3 linked regions of the Tamandua tetradactyla genome follow. The protein of the gene in region 3 interacts with the protein of the main gene of each other region in a pairwise test. Links are inferred from orthologs where the notes say so. Each region holds a gene or a part of one and is shown on either strand. Other genes may lie near its edges.

Region 1 (7,846 bases), on a different chromosome or scaffold from region 3:
GAGATGTTCTAGGAGGAAGGAGTCCTCTTCTGCCTCTTCAAAGTCCCTTCTGTCGTATCAAAATATGACTAGGAAATGGGATGGCAATCAGAGAGGAAAAAGGCAATTACAAGAATATGAAAATGCAAGCTTGTTTGACATCTGACTCAAAACTTCCCACGTGAAAACAAAGTATTTGCTTTTCGTTTCTAAAGAGATCATGTTCTCTACATTGGAAGCATAAAAACAATCAAACAATCCAACTTTCTCTAAAATGTCCTAGATAAACATTTATTTTCAGTATTATAGTAGAAAGTTACTGGGCTTGCTTAAAGAATCTAAATTAATCCAGCTTTACTAAAATGTAGTTGGCAAATGTAACAAATGTAACAAAAATAAGAGGTATACTGTCAGGTGATGTTACGTTAAAATCTAAATCTGTTACTCCTGTTTGGGTGGGAGTCTCCCAGAATTGGCAATTAATGATAAAATGTGGGGAAGAATGGAACGTGCATGAAAAACAGACATCAGAGTTACCTTCCCTATCAAGCAATTTGAATTATAGCTTCAGGCACGTATCTTAACAAATGTCTTATGAAATATCTTGTCTGATATGCATGTCGGCAATATTAGTGTTAAACTTTAAATCCTTATCCTTTGCTAATAAAATGCTGGAATTTATATACGACAGTATCTGTGGATGCGACATGGCTAAGATGACTTGAGGATTCTAACATTTTATATATGAGAATGATACATTTTATTAATGATTCTTTTTTGTTCCCACATTTCTGAAGCACATATTGACAGCAGAGGCGCTGCATTAAGTTTTCAAATGGATGTCAGACATCAAAGAGGGTATGACTAAAACAGTGAGGGAGAAAGCATAAACACATATGGAATGCATGCTTTTGCTTAAATAAAAGTATCACAGGTTCAAGATATAAGACTTTAGAATGATGCAGCACATTGTATATCTGTGTGGGCTAGACCCACAGACATTTCAATTCAATCTTAGGAACCCTAAGATTATGACTTGTTTTTATTCCTGCTCCTGGGAAGTAGGCAGATTTTTTATTGAACATAGCAGGAATATAATTAACTCGTTTTACTTAAAATCTATAAATGACTTCAAAATTTGCTCTGGAAATATATATCCAGCCATAAAATACCCTCCATGATAATGCTATGCATTCAAATAAGTCCCAGATTCTGCCCCCACACACTTTTTTAAGACAACGAAACTATACCCCCCATGTATTTGACCATTTCAGGAAATAAGAATGCAACTCCAGAGAATTAACTGGAGACTATAAGTTTCCATATGCAAGTCATCAAAATGAGAAATCTAAAAGCTCAGCATTTCAAAATTCAATAATACTTAGCTTAAATGACTTTTAAAAAGTTTCAAAGATAGAAACTTCAAGATTTATATTTACTTGTCAAGTAAAAGTTTTCTCTTAGTCATTGGAAAGTTTACCAAAATCACTTGCACTTAAAAAATATATATATAGAAGTCAAAATACCACATAAACAAAATACAAAGGAACCTTTAGGAAAAAATAACTCACTTTTTCTTAAAGCTTCTTCCTGTGACTTGAACAGTATGAAAGAAGGCGAATATACGGTAATTTTTTTTCTTCCAACACATAAAGAACAAGGAACAGAATGAGCTGCTGGTGCTAAATGAGGGTTCCTCCCAGAGGCAACTTTATAGGAGAAAATAGGAGGGCCCAAGTCCTGTGACGTGCAAATAGCTGACTCCTACTAGGCTAGAAAAGCATTCCTTTTCCAATTTTACTTAAAATTGCAAGTAGCAAATTCTCTGCATTATATCCTTACAGGGATATTCTGCCAGGATTAGTATTTTAAATATCTGGATAAGCTCCAAAAAGCTTAAAACACACAGTGTGCTGGTACACGCACACATGAAATTCTACTGATCAAGCTACATTTAGGGCATGTTTATAAAAATAATCACTGAAAGGACAGTGTATTTTCTGTTTTCTTGATCCATCTGGGTTTTGTTTTGTTTTGTGTATTTTCTGGTGGCTCTTAGAATCCTTCTATTTAGGTTAGTGGCTGAAACACAGAGCTTTTCTGTTGCGCCATCTGGGAAGAGATGAGGCCCCATGTTCTCACCTTCAGAGTTCTCAGTATCTTGAGAGATGAGCCCGGGGTTATGGCCTCTATCACTGCCTTCTTGGGGAATCTGGGAGCTTTGAACCTTGTGTGGATTTGAGTAGAATAACTCACGGTAGTTACCTGCTTGCTGGACCTGCAGTATGGATTTAGCATTCCGGGCTTCTGCACACTTCCCTTTGAGGTGGCAACGATTGTTATGTCATGTCCGTGGCAGTATGACTTAATAAGCACAGACTCATCTGGTCATTTGAAAATCTTCAGTTCAAAACATAGAAAATGGCTAGAGATTTTTTAAGAGTTGGGTTTGAAGAATTGCTTGGATGTTGAACTAACCTAGAACAATAATATTAGTGGGTCACAATGAACCAGAAAACAAGTAAGGGGCCTTTGCTCTTGCTCACAGAATCTTTATTTGAGGCCATTTCTTCAGTTTGGAAGGTGAAGTGAGGGAAGAAATATTTTGCTTTAACTCCATTAATTCCCAGACCAAATCTAAACTGTCCTTGTTCTAAATGCTAAAGGAATTATATGTTAATATTTTTGAAGGTCAAACTCAGGTATACAATCAAAGAACCTGAGCTGGGGAATTGCAGAGCCAATCAACCCTATATTTTATTATTCACTTGACTTTGATGATTAAGACATTATGAAAAGGAAAACATAGTGATTAGCAGCAACAGATTCTGATTCAGTGAAACGACACAAGTACATTCAATTAGTAATAGATTTTAATTGTCATGACACCACTGCTAGACAGGCAGGCTGAGGAAGCAAAGTGTCAGAGATACAAACTTACTTATATCACCATCTAGTTATGGGTCTACACCCTTTTTGTTTACACCTATGTGTCCTGAGAGGGTAGCTCTCATTCACTGTTTCAGCTTTCAAACCTCGTTCTCCCTCCTTGACCTCCTGCAATCTGCTTTCTATTTGAACCATTCCAACCCCCCAAAAAACTTCATTAAGATCAGAAGAGATCTTAATCAGCGATCCAAAGAGCACTGCCTTTAATCTTACCTGAAATTTCTGATCTTGGCCATATTTATTTCATTTTGAAATTTTCATCCCTTGGTTTCACTAGGTCACACCCTCTTGATTTCCTCCTTGCTCTCAGCATCTCAGTCTCTCCACCCTTGTTCACCACAGCTAGAGTTGTAACCTTTGTTCAGTATGCTTCTCTGCACATTCTCCATGGGTTTCCTTTTCAAAACAATTCACAATTATATACTATGACTCACAAGTTTGTGTTCCCAGCTGAAACCACCTCCAACGGACAGATCCTCCTGTTGTCTGCTGGGTCTACTTAGAATCTCAAAATCATCAAGCCTGAATAAACCTCTTCATCTTCTTCCCCCTTGAAATCTATGTTTCCTATTCAGGCATGGCACAATCACCCACCCAAACCCAAGTCAGCATCTACTCCTCTTCTCTGTATTCTCCTTCGTTCACTTAATATGCCAAGTGATTTCCCATCTAAATATTATTTTCAAAATAGCGATGAATAATGCCTGCAATATAATGAAATATATAATAGAGAAGTGCTGTTTGTCTTTTTCTCTTGTATAATTGCTTTCTTCAACACCAAAAATTTTCGCTGAGCATTTATAATGCATGAATCACAAGAACTTAGCTTTAAGTGAGAAAGAAGGAAGGAAAATAATCTAGAGCTTTCACTTTAAGTTCATTTACATTTATTAGGTACTAATTAAACAACCACATATTCTCTACTGAACATGCGTCATGCCTTCAAGCAGTTATTCAACCTTGAGGTCTATACAGTAGAGTAAGGATAAAGGTTAAATTTTTAGAGGAGTACAGACAAGCTCAGAAAGAAAACAATTTGATAAAGGTTTTTACTTCTTAACATTGAATAGCAAGAAGCATCAGAAAAAAATTTGACTTTCCAAGAGAGCACTAATGAGATTTTTATTTGGAACTTTTGTCTTAGAGTGTCTAGCTAAACTGCATACATAAAGGGTTTTTCTTTGGTATCTGAGCACCTGACTAAACAAAGTATTTCAAAACGAAAAAAAGATTGTGTTCCATTTCTACTAGATGCTAGTGGAAAAAAAGAAAAAAATGTATGCATAGTTTAAGTACATATTTCACTTCTTAGAAAGGGGAGGCATACTATAATTTCACAAATAAAATTAAATTTTAAAGAATTTTGATAAGTTGTCAAATTGCTCTCCAGAACAGACATGAACTTTCTAAAAGACAATTTTGATCTCCTTATTTTTCTGCTTAATTTATATCTTTTAAAGGACCCCCCCTTGTTTTCAGGACAATGATTAAACTCTTTAGCTTAGTACGTAAGTGTGACCATATTTGGTTTCCCGGGCCATGGCCATGCCGCAAGAAAGAATCCAAGGGCACGATGCAGCACAGACAAAGCAGATATAAAGTTTATTAAGAATGAATGTGAAAAGTGAAAGACTGGGGAAATATATTTCATGCAAAAAAAAAAAAGAAAAACCAGAAAGGAGCAGGGGATAGCTATACTAATATCCAACAAATTAGACTTCAAATGTAAAACTATTAAAAGAGACAAAGAAGGACACTATGTATTAATAAATGGAATAATTCAACAAGGAGACATAGCAATCATAATTATTTATACACTGAGCCATAGTGCTCCAAAATACATGAGGCAAACACTGACAACACTGAGGGAGAAATAGACACATCTACCATAATAATTGGAGACTTCGATTGCCTGCTCTCATCAATGGAGCACTGTCTTTAATCTTACCTGAAATTTCTGATCTTTGGATATAACATCTAGACAGAGGACAACTTAGCAAGCAGAGATTTTGAATAAAATAGTAAATGAAGTAGACTTAACAGGCATTTACAGACATTACTCCCCACAACAGCAGGATACACATTTGTCTCAAGTGCTTATGGATCATTCTTAAAGGTGGACCATATACTGGGTTACAAAGCAAATCTCAAGAAATTTAAAAAGATTGAAATTATATGAGACACTTTCTCAGATCATAATGGAATGAAGTTGGAAATCAATAACAGGCTGAGGGCCAGAAACATATGGTCGCTAAAGAATGCACTATTAAACAACCAGTGGGTCAAAGAAGGAAATACAAAGAGAAGTCAGTAAATATTTTGAGGCAAATGAAAATGAAAACACAACATATAAAAATTAATGGGATGCAACAAAGGCAGTGCTGAGAAGGAAATGTATTGTCTTAAATGCCTGTGTTAAAAAAGAAGAAAGCAAATATTGAGGAATAACTATTTACTTGGAAGAACTAGAGAAAGAACAGCAAACTAACACCAAAACAAATGAAAGGAAAGAGATAATGAAGGTTAGAGAAGAAATAAATGAAATTGAGAATATGAAAACAATCAGGAAAATCAACAAAACCAGAAGTTGGTTCTTTGAAAAAATCAATAAACTTGAAAGACCCTTAGCTAAGTTGACAAAAGAAAAGAAAAGAAAAAAGAGAAAGAGAAAGAATGTAAATAAATAAAACCAGAAATGGGAGATGGGACATAACTACTGGCCCCCCACAGAAATAAAGCAGGTAATGAGCGGATACTATGAGCAACTCTATGCCCGTAAACTAGATAATGTAGGTGAAATGGACGACTTCTTAGAAAGGTATGAACAACCAACATTGACACGAGAAGAAATAGACAAACTCAACAAACCAATCACAAATAAAGAAATTGAATCAGTCATCAGAAGCTGCCCAAAAAGAAAAGTACAGGACCAGATGGTTTCATATGTGAATTCTACCAAGCATTCAAAAAAGAATTAGTACCAATCATGCTCAAATTCTTCAAAAAAATTTAAGAGGAGGGAAGCCTACCTAACTCATTCTATGAAGCTAACATCACCCTAATACTAAAGCCAGACAAAGATACAACAAGAAAAGAAAATTGCAGAGCAATTTCTTTAATGAATATAGATGCAGAAATCCTCAACAAAATATTTGCAAATCGAATCCAACAGCACGTTAAAAGAATTATACACCATGACCAAATGGGATATATTCCAGGTATGCAAGGCTGGTTCAACACAAGAAAATCAATTAATGTAATACACCATATCAGTAAGTTAAAGTGAAAAAACTTATGATCATCTTGATTGATGCAGAAAAGGCAATGGACAAAATTCAACAGCCTTTCTTTTTCTGTTTTATCTTTCCTTTGCCTGTTCAAATCTGCTATTGTATGCTTCTGGATTATTTCTAATCCCTTCTATTGTGCCTTTCTTTCCCATAAATGCTTCTTTTCATACTTTCAAATTCTTCTTTATGTTCAGCCAGTGTCTTCTTAATATCATTTGTCTCTTTAGCCCTATTTTCCTTCATCTAGAACTGAATTAAGAGACTTGTTGAACATCTTTGATTAGTTTTTCCAAATTCTTTATATCCTTTGAATTTTTTATTTGTTCCTTTGACTGGGAAATATCTCCCTGTTTCTTAATATGGCTTAGCATGGCTTGTGATTTTTTGTGGATTCTACACACCTAGTTACCTTGATGAGTTTACTGTGAAGGCCAATTTCTTTCTCTTGTTTTGTTATTGATTGGCTTTGTGTTAAGGCTCTCCCTTGACACTTCATTCACAGCATTTCTCAGCCAAAATAGGGACACAGAACAACAAAGCGGGTGCAGAGCAGTTCCAAAGGGACCTGGGGAGGTCAGGAGAGACACCATAAAGCTTTTTTATTGGTTACCTAAGGCTGTGCTATCATGGCCTGACCAGCAAATGGCACTCTTTGAAAAGCCATTCCCTGCAGCCCTAAGACAGAGGCTTTGTTTTTTTGCATAGGCAGCACAGGCATTTTAAAAGCCCACCAGCTTCTCTCCTGTCACCATTGTTATTCGACATTCTGCTGGAAGTTCTAGCCAGAGCAATTATACAAGAAAAAGAAATAAAAGGCATCCAAATGGGAAAGGAAGAAGTGAAACTCTGTTTGCAGATGACATAATACTGTATGTCGAAAATCCTAGAAAAATCTACAGCAAAGCTACTTGAGCTAATAAATGAGTACAGCAAAGTGTCAGGGTTCAAGATCAGTGTCCTCAAATCATAGTGTTTCTATACACTAGTGATGAGCAATCCGAGGAGGAACTCAAGAAAAAAATTCCATTTACCATAATAACTAAAAGAATAAAATATTTAGGAATAAATTTAACTTAAGGATACAAAAGACCCATACACAAAAAAGTATAAGAAATTGCTGAAAGAACTCATGGAAGACCTAAATAAATGGAAGGGCCATCTGTGTTTGTGGATTGGAAGACTAAATATAGTTAAGGTATCAATTCTACCCAAATTGATTTATAGATTCAATGGGTACCAGTTAAAATTACAACAACGTACTTTGCAGAAATTGAAAAAAAAATAAGCAAATTTATTTGGAAGGGCACGGTGCCCCAAATAGCTAAAAATATCTTGAGAAAGAAAAATGCAGTGGGAGGTTCAAAGTACCTGACTTTAAACCATATTACAAAGCTACAGTGGTCAAACAACATGGTACTGGCAAAAATATAGATATACTGACCAGTGGAATAAAATTGAGTTTAGAAATAGACCCTCTCATCTACAGACTATTGATCTTTGATAAGGCAGTCAAGCCAACCCAATTTGGATGGAACAGCCTCTTCAATAAATGGGGTTTGGAGAACTGGGTATTCCTATTCAAAAGAATGAAAGAAGATCCATATCTCAAACCCTTTATAAAAATTAAC
Region 2 (8,113 bases), on a different chromosome or scaffold from region 3:
CTCCCATGACCTGACAAACAGGTGAAAAGTTCAGGAATCACTGGATTCAGCTTTAATGTCCCATATTGCTTTAGTTTTAAAGATACTTTACAAGACACACGAGCAAAACAACAGATATTATGTAAGCAATTTTTGCTATATATTTAAGTTTCACAAATTATACAAAGTATTCCAAAAATACCTTCTTAATGAAACAAAGTAATACTCTCACAACTAAAAGGGACCGTATACGCTATAACTCTCTAAGCATTCACATGTATTATAACTAACTAAACAGTCAAGAAACTCCACACTAAAATTATATTTATTAGAAAATACACTGATCAGCTCAAAGGAAAGGAAAACTTCAGCCAAAGGACTTTGTCCTTAAACCCACACTGTACCCCGTACTTTTATTAACACTCCAAATGCAATATCTGCTATGACTCGTGATGAAAAACGAATCAGAGACACAGAGGACTTGAAACAGAAAAGCACACAATACCAATTCCAAAGCCCAGAATGGAAGCAAAATGTCTTTCTCCCTGGGAGGGGGATGGGGGAGTCAGAGGGGTTGAACCCTCAGGGCCCCCTGCTCTCGGATTTCGCCAGCCTTCCTCTCCCACCAGCATCCTCCCACACCGCGCACGGCCGCTCGCCCCGAGGCCGGCTGGCCACTTCCACGTCGGAACCGACGAGCGAGAAAAGGCCAAACTCTGCCCTGGGCCTGCGAGTCTCCGCCCGCGGTCAGCCACTAGAGGTCCCCCCTTGGCCAGCTTTGCACGTTCGCGATTTTGCTGCACTTGAAACTTTCCGGGGAAATGCTCTACTCGAGTCAGTGTTTTTCTAAAAACTTGCGCAAAAACCCACGCGACGCGGCTGCCCAGTGCCGAGCCTCGGTCCCGGGCTTCCCGGACCCACAAAGGCATCCCAGCGCTCAGAGGAACGCAAAATTACAGACCGACGCGCCCGCCGCAGCCGCGCTCCCCCTCCCCCCCCCGCCCCCCACCCCCCATTTCCACTTATCTCAGTTTCCCTCAACTTCGAACAATTCGTCTATTTTTGTTTCTGCGCGCTCGCAGCGACCTTCGGCGGCGTTCCCGGGCGCCGGCCTGGGTGGGAAGGCGCGGCCCGGGGATGCAGCGCCAGGCGAGGCCGCGGTCGCGGCGCCCGAGGAAGTTGCATAAGGAGAGAGACTCCGTTTTTCGGGTCCCCTCGAAAACTCGGAGGGGAGGGGAGGAAAAGGAAGCGGGGGGGGGGGGGGACTGTGAAGGGAAACCAAAGCGACGTTTACCTTCGTCTCCCCGTGGAAGGGTGGGGTAAGTGCCACCGTCCTCGCGACCCCGTGGGGCGGCTCGCAACCCCCACTTCCCCCCGAGAGCGGACGGACAGACAGCCAGACACCCCTACCCCTCCGCGGGCGGGCGGGAAGGAAAGCGCCCGCTTTTCAACTTTCTCTCACGGTCGCGCTGTGGGCCGAGCTTTGACCAGAAGGAGGGAAGGTGGGGGGGGGGGGACCCGAAAACCCAGATCATTGGGCCTTTTTTCTTTAAAGGTAATTAAAGTTTTACCACCAGCACAAAAGTTGCACCCTGCCCCCCGCCCGTGTCACCGCGCCGCCACCCCCGCCCCCCCACGTCTCGGGGGCTCTCAAGTTTTCCTCCCTCTCCCCCCTCCCCGGTCCCCTCCCCCAGCTCGCGGGGCGCGCGGCGGATGCCTGGGCTCCTGCGCTTCCCGGTCCCCCCCCACACACCCCGCCGGCCTCTACTTCCCCCGCCCGCCCGGCCGCCGGGCCCAGGACGCGAGTGTGCAAAGCCCATGGCCGCGGCACGGCCCCCGCGCGGACCCCCGGCCGCCTCCCGGCGCTCGGGCGGGCGTAAACAAGTTGCAGGACCCGCGGCCCCGCGTTCCCGCCCCCCGCGGCCCCCCTTCCCGGCCGCCGCCGCCGCCGCCGCCTCCCGGCACACGCCCGCAGCCCCCGGCGGCGCGGCGCGACACGGCGCGGGGCGAACGCCGCGACGGCACCGGCTCCGGCCCGGCCCGCGCCCTCCGGCGCCTCCCCGCGCGCACGGCCGCCGCGGGCCCGCGCCGCCTCGCCTCCCCGGGCACTTTCCCGGCCCCGGCAGAAATAAACCGGAGGGTTTATTTTTGTGCAACTTTCCCAAAATGGCGGAAATTGGAGCTGCTCTCTATTAAATTCTCACACAGTCGGTCGGGCAGGGGGAGGCGGCGAGGAAGGCAACGCAAACTCGGGTCCGCCGGGCCGCGCCGCGCCGCGGGGTCCGGGTGTATGTGTGTGTGTGTGTGCGCGCGCGAGTGTGAGTGTGCGTGCGTGTGAGTGTGCGTGTGCGCGGTGGGAGCCGGGCAGGCCTCGGCGCCGCGCACACCCAGCACACGCCGGCAGGCGCGCCTGCACATTCAACCAGTCCGTTCTCCGCAGCCCGAGTGCGGAGAAAGTGGCCCGGCCTCTTTTCCCACTGCCTCGGTCTCCCGTACTTGGACTTCTCGCGCTCGCCCCGCCGCTCCCCGGTGCGCGCCCGGCACAAAGGCCACACACGGGCGGAGGGGGCCGCAGGGGCGGGCGCGGGGCCGGCCGCCTCCCGCCGCCCCGAGCCGCGGCCCGGCCGCCCCCGCCCGCCTCGGCCGCCCCGGCGGCGGCCCCGCGGCACCCACCCGGCACGCGCCCCCGCCCGCGCCCGGCGTCAGGAGAGGGACCCCAGTGACAGGCTCGGGGGAGGGGGCGCGCGGGGAGGGGGCCCTCCCGCAGAGCGCGCCGCGGCCGCCTCGCCCGGCTCCCTTCCGCACGGCCCCCCACACCCTTCCCCGGGTGCGCGCACCGAAAAAAAGACAAGTCTCTCCTCCCCCCCATTTTTCCTTTCTCTTTTCTCGCTCTTTTGTTCCTCTTTCACACTCGCGCTCACTACTTCACGGGGAGATGCCCGGGGACTCCCCCTCCAGCCCCTTCCGAGTCACTTGCCCACTTTTTTCCCCGGGATTAAGTTTTCTCCTCTTTCCCAGAGGCGGAGAGAAGTGGGGGAGAAACCCCTTCTGTCCTTTCCCCTCCCGGGTCTGTTTCACAAGGGCAGGGTGCGCTTCCTTCCCTCGGCAGCGCTCGGAACTTTCATCCTCACCCAGAAAAATAAATGAATGCCTTTGGCACGTACAGATCTGCAGATTAACGAGCGATTCGATCAGATCAGCCGCTTCTTACCCCCAAATTTTCTCTTTTTTTTTTCTCGGTCTCACGAGTAGTCCTGACAAATGGTCCAGGGCTGCGGGCGCAGTGCGCATGTGCGCGTGGAGCCTGGCTGGGGAGAGGGAAACTGCGCTGCCGCCGCCGCCGCCGCCGCCGCCGCCGCCGCCGCCGCGGCGGGCCGGGCCGCTTCCCGGCTGCTGCCTGCGCCCTGCCTGCCTGCGCCCTGCCTGCCTGCGCCCTGCCGGCGCCCTGCCTGCCTGCGCCCTGCCTGTCTGCACCCTGCCTGCCTGCGCCCTGCCTGCACCCCGCCTGCCTGCGCCCTGCCTACCTGCGCCTTGCCTGCGCCCTGCCTGCCTGCGCCCTGCCTGCGACCTGCCTGCTCCCCGCCTGCCTGCGCCCTGCCTGCGCCTGCCTGCGCCTGACTGCGCCCTGCCTGCGCCCTGCCTGCGCCCTGCCTGCCTGCACCCTGCCTGCGCCCTGCCTGCCTGCACCCTGCCTGCCTGCCCGCGTCCTGCCTGCGCCCTGCCTACTCGCGCCCTTCCTGCGCCCTGCCTACTGGCGCCCTTCCTGCGCCCTGCCTGCCTGCGCCCTGCGCTGGAGAGCAGCCGCCACCCCGGCCCGGCCCGCACGCACGCGCCGCCTCAGGTGCACCTTCTCCCGGCCTGGGCCCGGCTCCGAGCCGTGGCCAGGGCGGGCAAAACAAACGCGAAGGGCGGCGAAGGTGACAGCTCTCTTTGTCTGTTTTTCACTTTACATTTTTTAAGGCAGTTCGCAGAGCAGCTCATCCACCATGTGCTGCTGGATGTGTGCATTCAGCCGTTAAAGAGTGGGCCCTCGTCCCCACAGACACTCGCCCGAGGCCACGTGCGCGCACAGGCCAAGGAAAATAGGAAAGAAAGTTTTCAGCCCTGGCAGAGTATGAGCCCCTCCGCCACCCCCCTCACTGGGGCCTCGAAGGCTGCGCGGCCAAGTGCGGGGTTTCACCTTGCGTGCTCCTCGTCCTCCTTCAGCATTGACTGTCTTCACGGACATTGTAAACTAGCCAGGCCTCCACCGTGGGAGATGGGGAGACTCGCGGATCGGCTCCGAAATCAACGCGAAGGGCCCTCAGCAATAAGCAAGTGGAGGACTTTCGTCCTGGTGTGTTCAGACACCCCAAATACCGAAGCCTGTCTTTGTTAACACATCAAAACCCAGGCAGAGAGTACGGGTCGCACGGACAGCTTTCCTCTCCTCACACAGGCCGGCTCTAGCAAGGCCGTCTTCCGAGACACAAGTCCTTACACAAAGACTCACGTAATCGAAGTTGTGGTGAACATTTTCGTGTCAATAACACACTTTGCTGTGCGAGAAAAAAGAATAGCCTGTGCGATTTCAGAAATGGGGGAGCCCCCCCCCCCGGATATTTATTTTGCATCTAACCCAGGGTGAAGGAGGCCCTTTTCTGAAATTGCTGCCTGAGGCCTAGAATTTAAATATATCACAGATGGAATTCTGTATTAAAAATCCTTCTCCAAAGTGTAAGAAATATTATTCTTGATTGAATTTTTCACTTAAGGAATGTTTCTTGAACCAGTTTCAGAAAATAAATTGTTCAAGTCTTTCCTTAGCACCATGAAATTACCCTAGAGAAGCAGACCACCCAACTCTTTCTTTTTTGGTATGGTGGCTGAATTCTTAGAGCCAAAAATCTGGATATATGGCTCGGCCTCTCCTTGGGGACAAAGGACAAGCCCTGGGAAGCTGAAAGAGGGGTGTGAAGTGCAGAAGGCTTGGTCAGCCAGAACTGTGGATAAGCCCAATCCAGGGCTAGCTATCGATTTCACCCACCACATCGTACCTTTCAGGCGCAGCCTACGGAACTGATGGGAGTTTCGGCTTGTCCGCTTTTCTCCCTGGCTCTGGCATCATGAGCAGTGTCATGACCGAAAACAGGCCACACAAGGAGAAGGAAAGCAAGGCCAGGAGCTATGTGCAAACCCAAGACCCTACCCCAAATAGACTAAAAGTAATTTGAAAGTCCTCTTTCCAAAAAAATCGTTTTAGATTCGTTCCCTCAGTATAATTTCTAGATGATATGTCTATTGTAGGTGTATTTTCAGAGGTATCAGGTCAACATTCTGCAAACACAAACTGGCCTTCTACCATGTGCTCTGAGGAGTCTGCAAGCTGCTGGGAATAAACACGATCGAAACACTGCCCTGGCCACGAGGAACTTGGCCTGATGAGAGAGAGACATCTAGTTAATATGACATTGCATGATGGCATGGTAAATGCTAGAAGTATGGGGTGTAAAGCCAGCACAAGCCAGGAGCATTTATGGTCTTGCGGGGAGGCTTTGCAGAAGTGATGGCTAAGCTAATCCTGGAAGGACAGAGGTCAGTGGCTTATGGGCTCAGCCTTCCCCCAAGAAGGTAGGTGGGAGGGTGATCGAATCAGAGGGAGCCTGAGCACATGGGCCCGTGCAGAGCAGAGCCTGCCTGGGAACTGCTCATCTGCTGAGGCTCACTAACAAAAATAAGCCTGAGTGGAGGGTCTCCACAACGCATTTTCTTTCTCCCTCCAGAAATCATGAGAAACACCTCAAAAAATTTCATCTCAGTTGTTCCCAGGGTGTTGTGGTTCAGGGTGATAAAGATTTTGGAGGTTCTCCCTGAAAGGATAGCTTTAAAGACTGCTACCATTTTTTTTTTTTTTTTTTTTTGTCCACAGACAATCCTTCAATGCTGCCATCTGAGACAGGCAGAATACTGTCTTGGAATCTAGATGACATTGTTTTATTCTTCATATTAACAGATCCTGTTTACAGGATATTTCTCTACCTCTTCCCTAAATGGTAACATACTGGTAGAAGCTTCTTTGCCTTCCCTACACGCTTCCACCATTCAGTCAAGGCCTAGTAATTCATGATGAATCCCTTCTCACCAGCACCACTTACTGTCACCATCCTCCACCACCCTCCCCCCTTCGCCCGTCGCCCAGCTAACCCATCCTCCAGGCCGAGGGCAGGTGGTCTATAACCTCCCTGGCAGCCCAAATTAAGTTTTAGCTCACTGCTCTGTTTTTCTTTATATTTATTTGTTATGCCCAGACTTCCCCCCAAAATAATTTCGAGTTATTCCACTCCTAAATATTCTGAACCTGAAGTCACTATACACGGGAGATGTTTGAACGTGTCACTGCACTCTATAGAGACATTATGGGGCTCTCCATCAGCACTGCCAGGCACAGGCCACACTAACCTCTCTCCATCTTGTCACCTCCACCGTCTGTGAACTTCAGTTTGGATACCTACGCTTCCTTTTTCTAACACTAAATTCGCCCTGCCCTGATAGGCACACTGCTCACACTTGCCCTCTGGCACGTACTCCTCTAGGAAGGCCTGCAGGGAGCACCTTCACATTTTAGTATAAATGATATGGAGGAAAGGAATTTTAAGGAAGGAGTGAGAACCACCCATCTGCTGGGTGTCAGAATGCTATCACTGAAGAGCTCATTCACTCCGTAAAGCTGGGTGCTAATGAGATGGAAGGACGAAACTCCATTCCCTAATGGCTACTTAGTTTTGATCTGTTTTATAGCCACAAACTCCTTCTCTAACCTCAGGCCCCTGGATTGCAATGTGTGCTAGTGGGCACAAGTCTTAAGGTAAAATTGAATCTATCCATAGAGATTTTTCTAAATGAACGATCCTTTAAATCATCATTTTAATGTATTATCTTACTTTTTAAGTAGGAGTCAAGTTATTGATTTTTTAAACCTACATAATTGTGTGTTCCATGTTTTTCCAAGTATCAAAATGACATTACCATTGATTTGGCCAAGATTTTTATTATTGATATTTGTCAGAGCCGAGTTTGATTTTCCTGTTAGTTCTAGATAACAGTGAAATGTGCTTGTAGGTACTCTAATTTGAATCCTGATTGTCTTTCCTGGGACACATCTGCAAACATTCTTAGCACAGAGCTTGTGGTAGCAAAATGTCATTGAAATGCTGAGAGTGAAAGAAAAGGATATATTACTTATCAGGTAAAGGAAAGACTCCTAGTGTGTATCATACTGAAAATATCTTAAGGAAATTAAATATATGAAGAACTCTGGGATAGATGTGATTATTATCATTTAATTTAGGTATAAAGAAGGTATCAAATATAGACATATCTGGAAGAGAGGAGAATCTGGGATTGTAAACTGACTTCTAAATTAAAAAGCAAAAGGTAATTTATGTTAATTTCTCATAACACACCTACTCATTTAAACCTAAATTCAGAAGCATTTTAATTAAAAAGTAAGAGAAGGGTGGGCAACGGTGGTTCAGTGGTAGAATTTCGCCTGCCGTGCCGGAGACCCGGGTTCGATTCCCGGAACCTGCCCATGCTGGAAAAAAAAAAAAAAAAAAAAAACAGTGAGAGAGGGCAAAAGCCAAACTTCAGAACTTGTCTGTGCCAGTAGCTCCCCTCCGTCAGAGCCCCCTGCTCTGGGAGGTGCCTTCCAGTTGACCCGCTCTCCTGGCCGCAGCTGACTGGCCCAGGAGTGGATATTTGGTCTATGGACTGAGCCGAGTGGCAGGCCTGGCCTGTGGGCAGCTTCTCTGTGGGTGAGAATGTAATGAAACAGGCCAGTCTTCTCATACTTGGCCATATGAACTGGGCCTGTGATAGAAAAAGTTAGCTGGCAAGCTTTGCAAAAACTGAAAGATTCACGGAGAGAAAAGGGGAGAGACTGGGCGCCCCACCGCGGCCGTGGGGCGTTAGACGTGATGCCCAAGTAGAAACCATGAGGTCAAGAACAGCCAAAGTCAGCTCACGGGAGGAGCAGCAGATGAGCAGCATTCCACAGGTCCCTGCCCTGGACTCTGTGTGACCTTCTCATCCCAAATGCCATTCTGGTCTCAGAGAGGCCTGGCCGCTCTGTGGTCACGAGGTGACGCTCTGCATA
Region 3 (8,273 bases):
ATCAGACAGTAAAGAACTGAAAGAATTCTTACTGTCCTCAGAGTCAAGAAGAAAAGTGAAGTCATACAACAGCAGGTTGCTATGAAAAAGGAAAAGAACAAGTAGGTCCTTGGAAATTAAAATTTTGGTTGTGGAAGTTTAAAAATTTTTCATCGAATAGGAAGATAAAATTGAAGTATTCTCCCAGAAATCAGAAATAAAAACACAGAGGGTAAAGATGACAGGCTCCACAGAGTAATCCAAAACATACGTCATTAAACTAAAACAAATCCCTAAAAAGGAGGAGCAATTCTCATTTAAATGATACAAAAAAATTTCCCAGAGCTTAAAGACGCAGATGCAGAGAGCATTCAGAGCACAAACCCTCATCCCTTGGCACACTGTTAAATGTCTAACATCAAAGAGAAGATGCTAAAATCTTGTCGGGAGGGAGAAAGTCACCCAAAAGGAATAGAAGTCTTCTTGGCAGGTTTTTCATTAAAACTAAGAAGCCAAGTTTAAGACAAGTTATCCTCAACAAACCCAAAAGTGTGTAAAAGAAAAAATCCACGATGATACCTGTGAGGGCGTCAAGAGTAATTAGACAAAGAGGACAGAGGACTCCAGGTTGGAGATTTGATACTCTCCTTGAGAATTTAAAACATTATTTAAGAAGAGAAAGAAAGGACCTTACAGAAAAAAGAAAAAAACGAAAGCTGTACATGAAGGCAAATGCATCATGCAGCTGTGAAGCAAACAATATTTTCATCAGTCATGCTATAGATAACTGCATTAACTGAACATGAGGAGAGAGAAGAGAGGGGATATAGTATGGGGAGATAAACCGGCCCATCACAGCAGAAGTTAAGTTGGTAAAATGGACAAAAGTTATTACCTTGAGCTATGGAGAACTATCTGAAGAAACAAATAAAAGTTTCACGTCTTTGAGGAAGGGTACCAAGAACTGGGACAAGGGCTGCTACTTTTCTTGTGTACCTTACTCAAATGAAAAAAAAAAATGCTCACTGTGGGTGTGTGTTATTTCCTTTAAAACACTTCTGGCAGGGTGGGTTCAAACACTGGCTATGTGACTCGGGCACGGCACTCAGCCGGCATGGGTGTCAGTCTCCTCATTGGTGAAATGGGGACAGCTCCTACCAGGGGTTAGGGAAAGAAAGAATGAATGGAGCCTCAAGCACATGCTGCAGCTCCAGCATGACCAGAGCGGACACTGAAGGTTGCCGCCCCCTGTCATGGTCGGTAACCAACTCTCGGAGTCTGCCCAAGCCCTGCTCTAAGCGGCTCTTCCAGGACTCTGCCGAACTTTATAAGCTGCCCCTTGGCATCCTCTTGTTTTGTGTGGAGCACTTCTTCCATTTCCCAACTGGGAAGTAGCTGCCACTGGGAAGAATTGTCTCCTGTTTTTAAGTCCTTAATTAAATCTCATGGGTAATCTTCTGCCTGGCGTGTTTGGTCCTGGGACTAAAATCGGTTGGAACACATCTGAAAGGCCCAGCTCACAGTATATGATCCGCAAGTGGCAGCTGTTTCTTTAAAAAGTAAAGCCAACAATACTAGAATCCAACAGTCTCAGTGGACCCCTGGGCATCAGAACCCTTTCCCACTGCAAGACAATAAGAAAATGGACGTATATGTGTAGAATTAACGCTACAGGCAATTCTGGTGTTTCCTTTCACCACTCCAGATCATAAGCTGGCACACAACACACTGTCCTAAAAGCAGAATGTTAAATCACTGGGCCATCTACTTTCTGACTGAATGTGCCCCTCACTAGCTCTATTCTGGGTTCTTTTCTGTCTCTTGAACAATTAACTCCTGTCTCCTCTCATCAAGTTTATTACAGTGCCAGTTTTATCAAAGCTAATAGGCCTTGAGTCCTGGGGCAGAAGAGAGAGGAATTACCTGTCCCACATCGGGAGACTCGAACTTGGCCCTCCACAACTTAAAGGCAAGCTCCCTATCCTTGAAAGGCCACAGTTGTCACAGTTCTTCGGGCAGCATTCATTTCTCCAATGCCAACCCAATCCCTACCATCTCATCATTCGGAAATTACTCCTCTATTAAGGCAGTGTCTCCACTGTGCTCACATAATGGGAAATGGAACTTGCATCTACTTTTTGCAGCCTGGGGTGGGGAAGGGGAGAAAAAACTAAAGCCACATTTCAAAAAAATTACATTTCAGAAATAAGAAGAGTACAGGGGGAAAAACCCCGAAATCCTCAACCAACTGGATTAGATCATCTCTCAAGTCGGACGTTTCCTACTTCTAAGACTGCACCTTATTTGCCTTTGCAACCATCAGAATCACAAGTGTTCTGGATTACCAGTGTGCCATTTCACTTTAGTAACTTAAAAAGTAGAGAAAGAGTCCAAAGAAATTAAGTCTACGACACCCCATGACGTTTATGGCACACGATGAACGCGGGGGTGTTGTGCGTTCCAGATTTTCCCGATTACCCAGAAAAGTGAAAACCCAAGCATGCCCTAACTTTACAGCCAGAGCCGTGCATGCGCCCAGGGCGACCCCGAAGTCCAGGGAGGGCAGGCGGTGTGCCCGCAGCCCGGAGCGCCCCGTCCTCGGCCTGCGAGTCAAACCAGGGCTCCGCACGTCCCGGCACTCGCCGCCTCCCTCAGGTGGGAAAAGCCACGGCCAACGGGTCCGCCTGAACCCCCGGCGCCCTTCCACGGCTAACGGGAACCTGGGGACCAGGGGAGCGCGAGGCGCGGGGCGGCCCGGGCCTGGCAACACCTCACCGCGCCAAGCGGGCGCGCTCAGCCGTCCCTGGCCGGGTCCGTACGTACCCCACGCCGCTCGGGGGAAGGGGGGAAAGGCAACCGCAAAACCACCGATACGCGGCCGACGCGGCGCGCCCAGCTCCCCGCCGCAGGCCCTTCCATCTCTGGGCGCCGGGCACCGCGAGCTCCCCTTCCAGCTCAGGCGGAGGGCGGCCCCCGCCGGCACAGAACGCGGAAGAGGGCCCGGCGGGTGGGCCGCGAGGCGGGAGGCGAGGGCAGGCCGGGGCGGTGCGGGCCGCGGCGCCGGGGGCCGAGGCCGCCGGGCGGGACCGTTGGCGGGGCCGACGGGGGACGCGGCGGGGGCGACGGGGCGGCCGGGGCCAGGGACGGGCGGAGGGCGGAAGGGCGGGAGGGAGGGGGAGATCTCGCTCTCGCTCTCGCCCCGCGGGAAGGGGGGGAGGCGGAGACGCGACCGGCTGCGGGAGCTGCAATTACCGTGTGGGCTGCGGAATTCTCGTGGTGTTTGTCGGGGAGATGCGATAATGGCGTCCGTCCTCGCGAGAGAAGCCGCCGTTCTGCGCAAGCGCCGCGCGTCCCTCCCCGCGGCCCTCGGGCCTCCGCACTCTGCGCAGACTCAGTGCGCGCGCCGCCGCCAGGGGGCGGAGCCCGCGGGTGGGGCCTACTGCTCCGCGTCCGCCGGTGCGCCTTTTCGCCGCTCACACGACGGTGCGCATGCGCACGCGTTCTACACTCCCTCACGGGATCTGTGGCCTCCTGGGTTCTTATTTCCCCCCTATATACTCGGTCTCCTTGCTAGTCCGTGAACGATTGTCTCAGTGGGTCGTTTGAGGGATTTGCAGGGTCTTTGAAAATGGATGACGAGGATTAACATCGCGGGTGACTACGTATCCCAGGATGCCCTGCGCAAGCTCCTAGCAATGCATTCTGGGACTCGTAGTCCCACCGCCCGACCCATGCCTGCCGGTACTTGTAGTCTTTCCGTCCTCCGGCCGCCCCGTCCCGTCCCGCCGCACGGGCTGCTGGGACTTGTAGTTCAGGAGGCTTGCGTTCGCGGCCCCCCGTGCGTCCCGCATAGATATAATCTTTGTTTCATATGTAATATATAATGTCTGTTTTATGCAATATAAACGCACGACATACTAATATGGATATAAATTTCATCTTGTATGGCGTAAGTGTGACTTTTGGGGTTCTCATAGGAAAAAAGCCCCGAGCCATATCACCGCGCGGGACCGGGACACCCGCGGAAACGTGCCCGCTTCCCGCTGCGCGCCGAGATGCCGCGGCTTCTCCTCCCGGCCGTGCCGGCCCCGAGCTTCGCGCTGTTCGCAGTGGGAGGAATCACTTCGATCTCGCAAACACAAGCGACGGAGCAGTTTCGTGTTGGCAGAAGAAAGCGACTCACCTGGCGTTTCGCACTGACCCCGCCTCAAACCGCGCAGCTGGGCGGCCTTGCCCAGCCCGAGGCGCCTCCCGCCCGGCGCCCCGGCCTCCTCCCGCCACGTGCCTTGAGACGGTTCAGAGAGCCACGGAGGGCCCGCGCTGCAAAAGGTGTGGGAAGACCTGCAGGCTACCACGAAATCGCCCCTTGTTCCAGATGAGGGACAGGCCGCGCAGGGTCATGCAACCGGACGGGCCGCGCAGGGTCATGCAGCCGGACGGGCCAGGTCATGCAGCTGGACGGGCCGCGCAGGGTCATGCAGCCGGACGGGCCGCGCGCAGGGTCATGCAACCGGACGGGCCGCGCGCAGGGTCATGCAGCCGGACGGGCCAGGTCATGCAGCCAGACGGGCCGCGCAGGGTCATGCAGCCGGACGGGCCGCGCATAGGGTCATGCAGCAGGATGGGCCGCGCAGGGTCATGCAACTGGACGGGCCGCGCAGGGTCATGCAGCCGGACGGGCCGCGCACAGGGTCATGCAGCCGGACGGGCCGCGCACAGGGTCATGCAGCCGGACGGGCCGCGCACAGGGTCATGCAGCCGGACGGGCCGCGCACAGGGTCATGCAACCGGACGGGCCGTGCGCAGGGTCATGCAGCCGGACGGGCCAGGTCATGCAGTCGGACGGGCCGCGCAGGGTCATGCAGCTGGAAACAGGAAAAGGCCGAGTTTGGAGTTCACAGCCCCTCAGCTGGAACCCGGTCTTGGGCCAGATCAGGTGGGGAGGAGAGGCTGCAGAAGTAAGCCCCGAAAATTTCCCGGGGGCGTGGAGGGGAAACTTACCCCCTCCTCTCACCTCCACCCCAAACACTGCCAAAACTCGCACATTTACATAGGCAAGAATTCTTCACGTGGATCCTGAAAGTCAGACTAGAAGGCGGATAAACTGGAGGTGATATTTTTCATCTTGTGTCGGAACCTTGTGGATCCCTTGTCAGTAGCACCCCCTCCTGTGGGCATCGCCTGCGGCCCCCAGGCCCCTGCTGGGCGGGCAGGAATGACTGAAGGCCTGAAGGAATGATAAAGGTTGACACATTCTGAACCATCCAATAGACTAAAAGCTAAAGACTTCCAAATCATTGCAGATTAGCACTGTATCAGAAATTAAGGTGATCACAATTATAATTACAGTTATGTTGAACTCATTGGCTTCTCTTTAGATTTTTTTAGTTCATTTATTTTTCATATTGCTGCCCCATAAACTAAGATAGAGGCAGGTGCTATTAAAATATTGATATCTGGTGATGAGCCATGATTTTTAAAATTGGATAGGTAGTAATCGGCCAAGCCGGCTACCTTCCAATAAAGTTCCGCTTAGTCACCAGGGGGGCCCTTGCCCTTGTCAGACAATGAGTGCGAGAACCCAATCCAATTTCCTGTACAGTGGCCTGGAGTCTAGCACATGGGGGCTGGAGGGATCTCAGTTCACACGGGGTCACTGAGGGCACCTCTGCAGGGAGCTGTCCCTCGCAGGACGCAGGTCAGTGAAGGGTTGAGCCGAAGGTCTGGCCCAGGACGCAGGTGGAGGCCAGCCAGCCCTGAGGGGTCCATCCTTATCCCAAAACAGTGGGGCATCTGCAGGGCATTGGACCACAGTAGGCCTGGCAGATTGGCATCTTGAAAGGTCACCCTGGCCCGAGGGCTGGAAAATGGATTAGAAGGCACCCGAGGAGCTGGGGGAGAGGCCAGCGGAGGCTGGGTCCAGGCCAGAGGCCATGTCGCAGTGGAGTCCGCGTATAGGGAAGGGGACAGAGTCATCGGGACCTGAAGATGAGTCTGGTTCAGAGCAGGGAGCAGGGAATGGTGCCAGGACAGTCGCCAGGCTTGGGCACAGGCATCATCACCTGGCCACGGTGTTGCTGACCCTGAACATCCCCTCCTGGTGGTTGGCCACTCCACGGGACCTGGGGCAGTCAGCACTCTCTAGGGAAACAGAACCCACAGGAGAGATCTACAAATATGAGATGTATAAAGGCATCGCATGCAACCCTGAGAAGGGAAGAGTCCAAAACCCATCGGCAGGATGTAAGGCTGTTGTCTCTGATGAAGGGTCTAGATGAACTCCACGGAAAGGCTCGTGGCTGGAGAAGCAGTGGAAGAGTCTCTCCCCTAAAGAGCCTTCAGGTGATTGGATTATCTCATTATGGGGCACATGCCTTAGTTGATTGCAGATGTGATCAGCCATGGATGCAGTCAAGTGACTGATGATTTAATCCACCAGCCCTCTGGTTCATCAACCAGCCACAGAGTATTCTGCATCAACGGTCAGGCCAGTGAGTGCCTGACCAGACCACTGGGCATCAGCATTTGGCCAAGTTGACACCAGACCCTCACGGTCACGGGCCCCTTGGTGATTCCCTGCCCACCTCCCCCCCAACACACACACACACCTTTTCTGTTTTGTCTGTGCAGTAGGATGATAAAACCTGCCTCGTGGTGCCTGACGGAGTTTAGAAGCCCGTCATAGAAAGCCTTTACTGCAGCACTTGGCACAAGGGGACACTCAGTCCCAGAAATGTTGTTACCTGTATCTACATGAAAGACGTAGATGATGCATCTACTAATGAAGTAGTCATAGCAGTGCCATGGCCCACTTCGTAAGCTCCAAGGGCTGGGCCTTTGCCTAAACCGTGTAATAACCTCCAGTCTGTCTGCAGATTGCCACTCTCCTTGACTTCTTTTTCCCCTCTTTCTTTTTAGTTGTGACAAAATGCACATAATATTTACCTTTTGAAGGTGTACAGTTCAGTGGCATTGAGTACATTCATGATCTTGTGTAACCGTCACCATGATTTTGTTCTAGAACATTTCCGTCCCTGCAAAGAAAGCCCTGCCCCCAATAGCAGTCACCTCCCCCTACCCCACGCCCACCCCTAGCCCCTGGATACCCGTCTGCTTTCCGTCTCGATGAATCTGCCATACTGCACATCTCGTACAAATGGAACCAACCAATGTGTGACCTTTGGTGCCTGGCTTCTTTCTCTCAGCATGCAAGGTGCAGTGTGTATGTGTCTGCGCTTCGTTCCTTCTCATGGTTGAATAGCATCCCATCGTCTGGCTGGACCTCATGTTGCATATCCACTGCTCAGTTGGTGGGCATTTGAGTGTTTCCACCTTGGGCTATTGAGAACGCTGCTGCTGTGAATATGAGTGGACACACTTCTGCTGAAACACCTATTTTCAGTCCTCTGGGTACTTCCCTAGAATTACTGGGTCTTATGGTAGCTCTGTGTTTAACTTATTGAGGAACCACGTATGTGACTTCTTAACAAGACCCTTGGTCGTTTGGAGTCAAAAGGTGCTGACTTCCTCACTTGTTTATAGTTTCTCTGTGTCTGGAACGTCCTGTTTTTGCCATCCTTTATCACCTAGAACAGCAGTCTTCAGTTTGGACTATATGTTGAAATTACCTGAAGTGTCTTTAAAATGCCACTGCCTGAGTCCCACTCCCAGAAATGCTGCATCTGAGACCCCCAGGAACTTCCAAACCACAGCCCAGGTGAACACCCAGCCAGGAAGGCCACTTGCCCATACCTTTATCTTCACTGTTTTGCATCTTAAGTTCAGTTTTCTTGAAGCAATTAGTCATCTGAAGATGGGGCAATTAGTCACAAGCAATATGGTTGGAGGCAAGAATCTCAAGGTAACCTTAAGGCAACTGTGGCAGTTTTAAAACATGGCCCCAAATTTAACACCCCTCCCTTCGAGAGAAGGGGGCCTCTGACCATCCCCGTGAATGTGGCATCTGAGACTCCTTGATCAATAGAGCACAGCGGCCTGGGCCTTAAGAAATAGGCAGGTTCCGCTTCCTGACTCTCGGGACACTGGATCTCAAAACCCAGTCGCCATGCTGGGTGGCTGCCCAAGCTGCCCTGTGGAGAGGCCTGCGTGGAGAGCAACCAGCGGCCAGCCTCAGCCTGCCCACCATTGGGTGTGCCATCCGGGAAGGGGATGCCCCAGCCCCAGCTAAGCCGTCCCAGTTGATGCCATGAAGAGTGGAGAAGCGCTCTTCCCGCTGAGCCCTGCCCACGGTTCAGGTGTGTGAGCTCAAGAAATGAATCTTGTCATTTTCAGCC

The links. The genes of interacting proteins can lie anywhere in the genome.
Region 1: the proteins of BANP (region 3) and FHL5 interact in binary tests that used the Homo sapiens proteins (3 or more experiments, as listed by UniProt). The two-hybrid records come from large-scale screens. The link is inferred for Tamandua tetradactyla from reciprocal best matches to the Homo sapiens genes BANP and FHL5.
Region 2: the proteins of BANP (region 3) and L3MBTL3 interact in binary tests that used the Homo sapiens proteins (3 or more experiments, as listed by UniProt). The two-hybrid records come from large-scale screens. The link is inferred for Tamandua tetradactyla from reciprocal best matches to the Homo sapiens genes BANP and L3MBTL3.

Annotation. Positions count from the first base shown.
Region 1 is NC_135331.1:153,896,042-153,903,887, reverse strand, and holds the start of FHL5 (four and a half LIM domains protein 5), read right to left. Parts: upstream 3,286-7,846; 5' UTR 3,142-3,285; intron 2,383-3,141; exon of another isoform or gene 2,122-2,382; intron 1,619-2,121; exon of another isoform or gene 1,551-1,618; intron 1-1,550. UniProt on the Homo sapiens protein: May be involved in the regulation of spermatogenesis. Stimulates CREM transcriptional activity in a phosphorylation-independent manner.
Region 2 is NC_135331.1:191,514,452-191,522,564, reverse strand, and holds the start of L3MBTL3 (lethal(3)malignant brain tumor-like protein 3), read right to left. Parts: upstream 3,286-8,113; 5' UTR 3,191-3,285; exon of another isoform or gene 3,144-3,190; intron 2,283-3,143; exon of another isoform or gene 2,184-2,282; intron 1,451-2,183; exon of another isoform or gene 1,274-1,450; intron 1-1,273. UniProt on the Homo sapiens protein: Is a negative regulator of Notch target genes expression, required for RBPJ-mediated transcriptional repression. It recruits KDM1A to Notch-responsive elements and promotes KDM1A-mediated H3K4me demethylation.
Region 3 is NC_135342.1:82,347,429-82,355,701, reverse strand, and holds the start of BANP (protein BANP), read right to left. Parts: upstream 3,346-8,273; 5' UTR 3,232-3,345; intron 1-3,231. UniProt on the Homo sapiens protein: Controls V(D)J recombination during T-cell development by repressing T-cell receptor (TCR) beta enhancer function. Binds to scaffold/matrix attachment region beta (S/MARbeta), an ATC-rich DNA sequence located upstream of the TCR beta enhancer.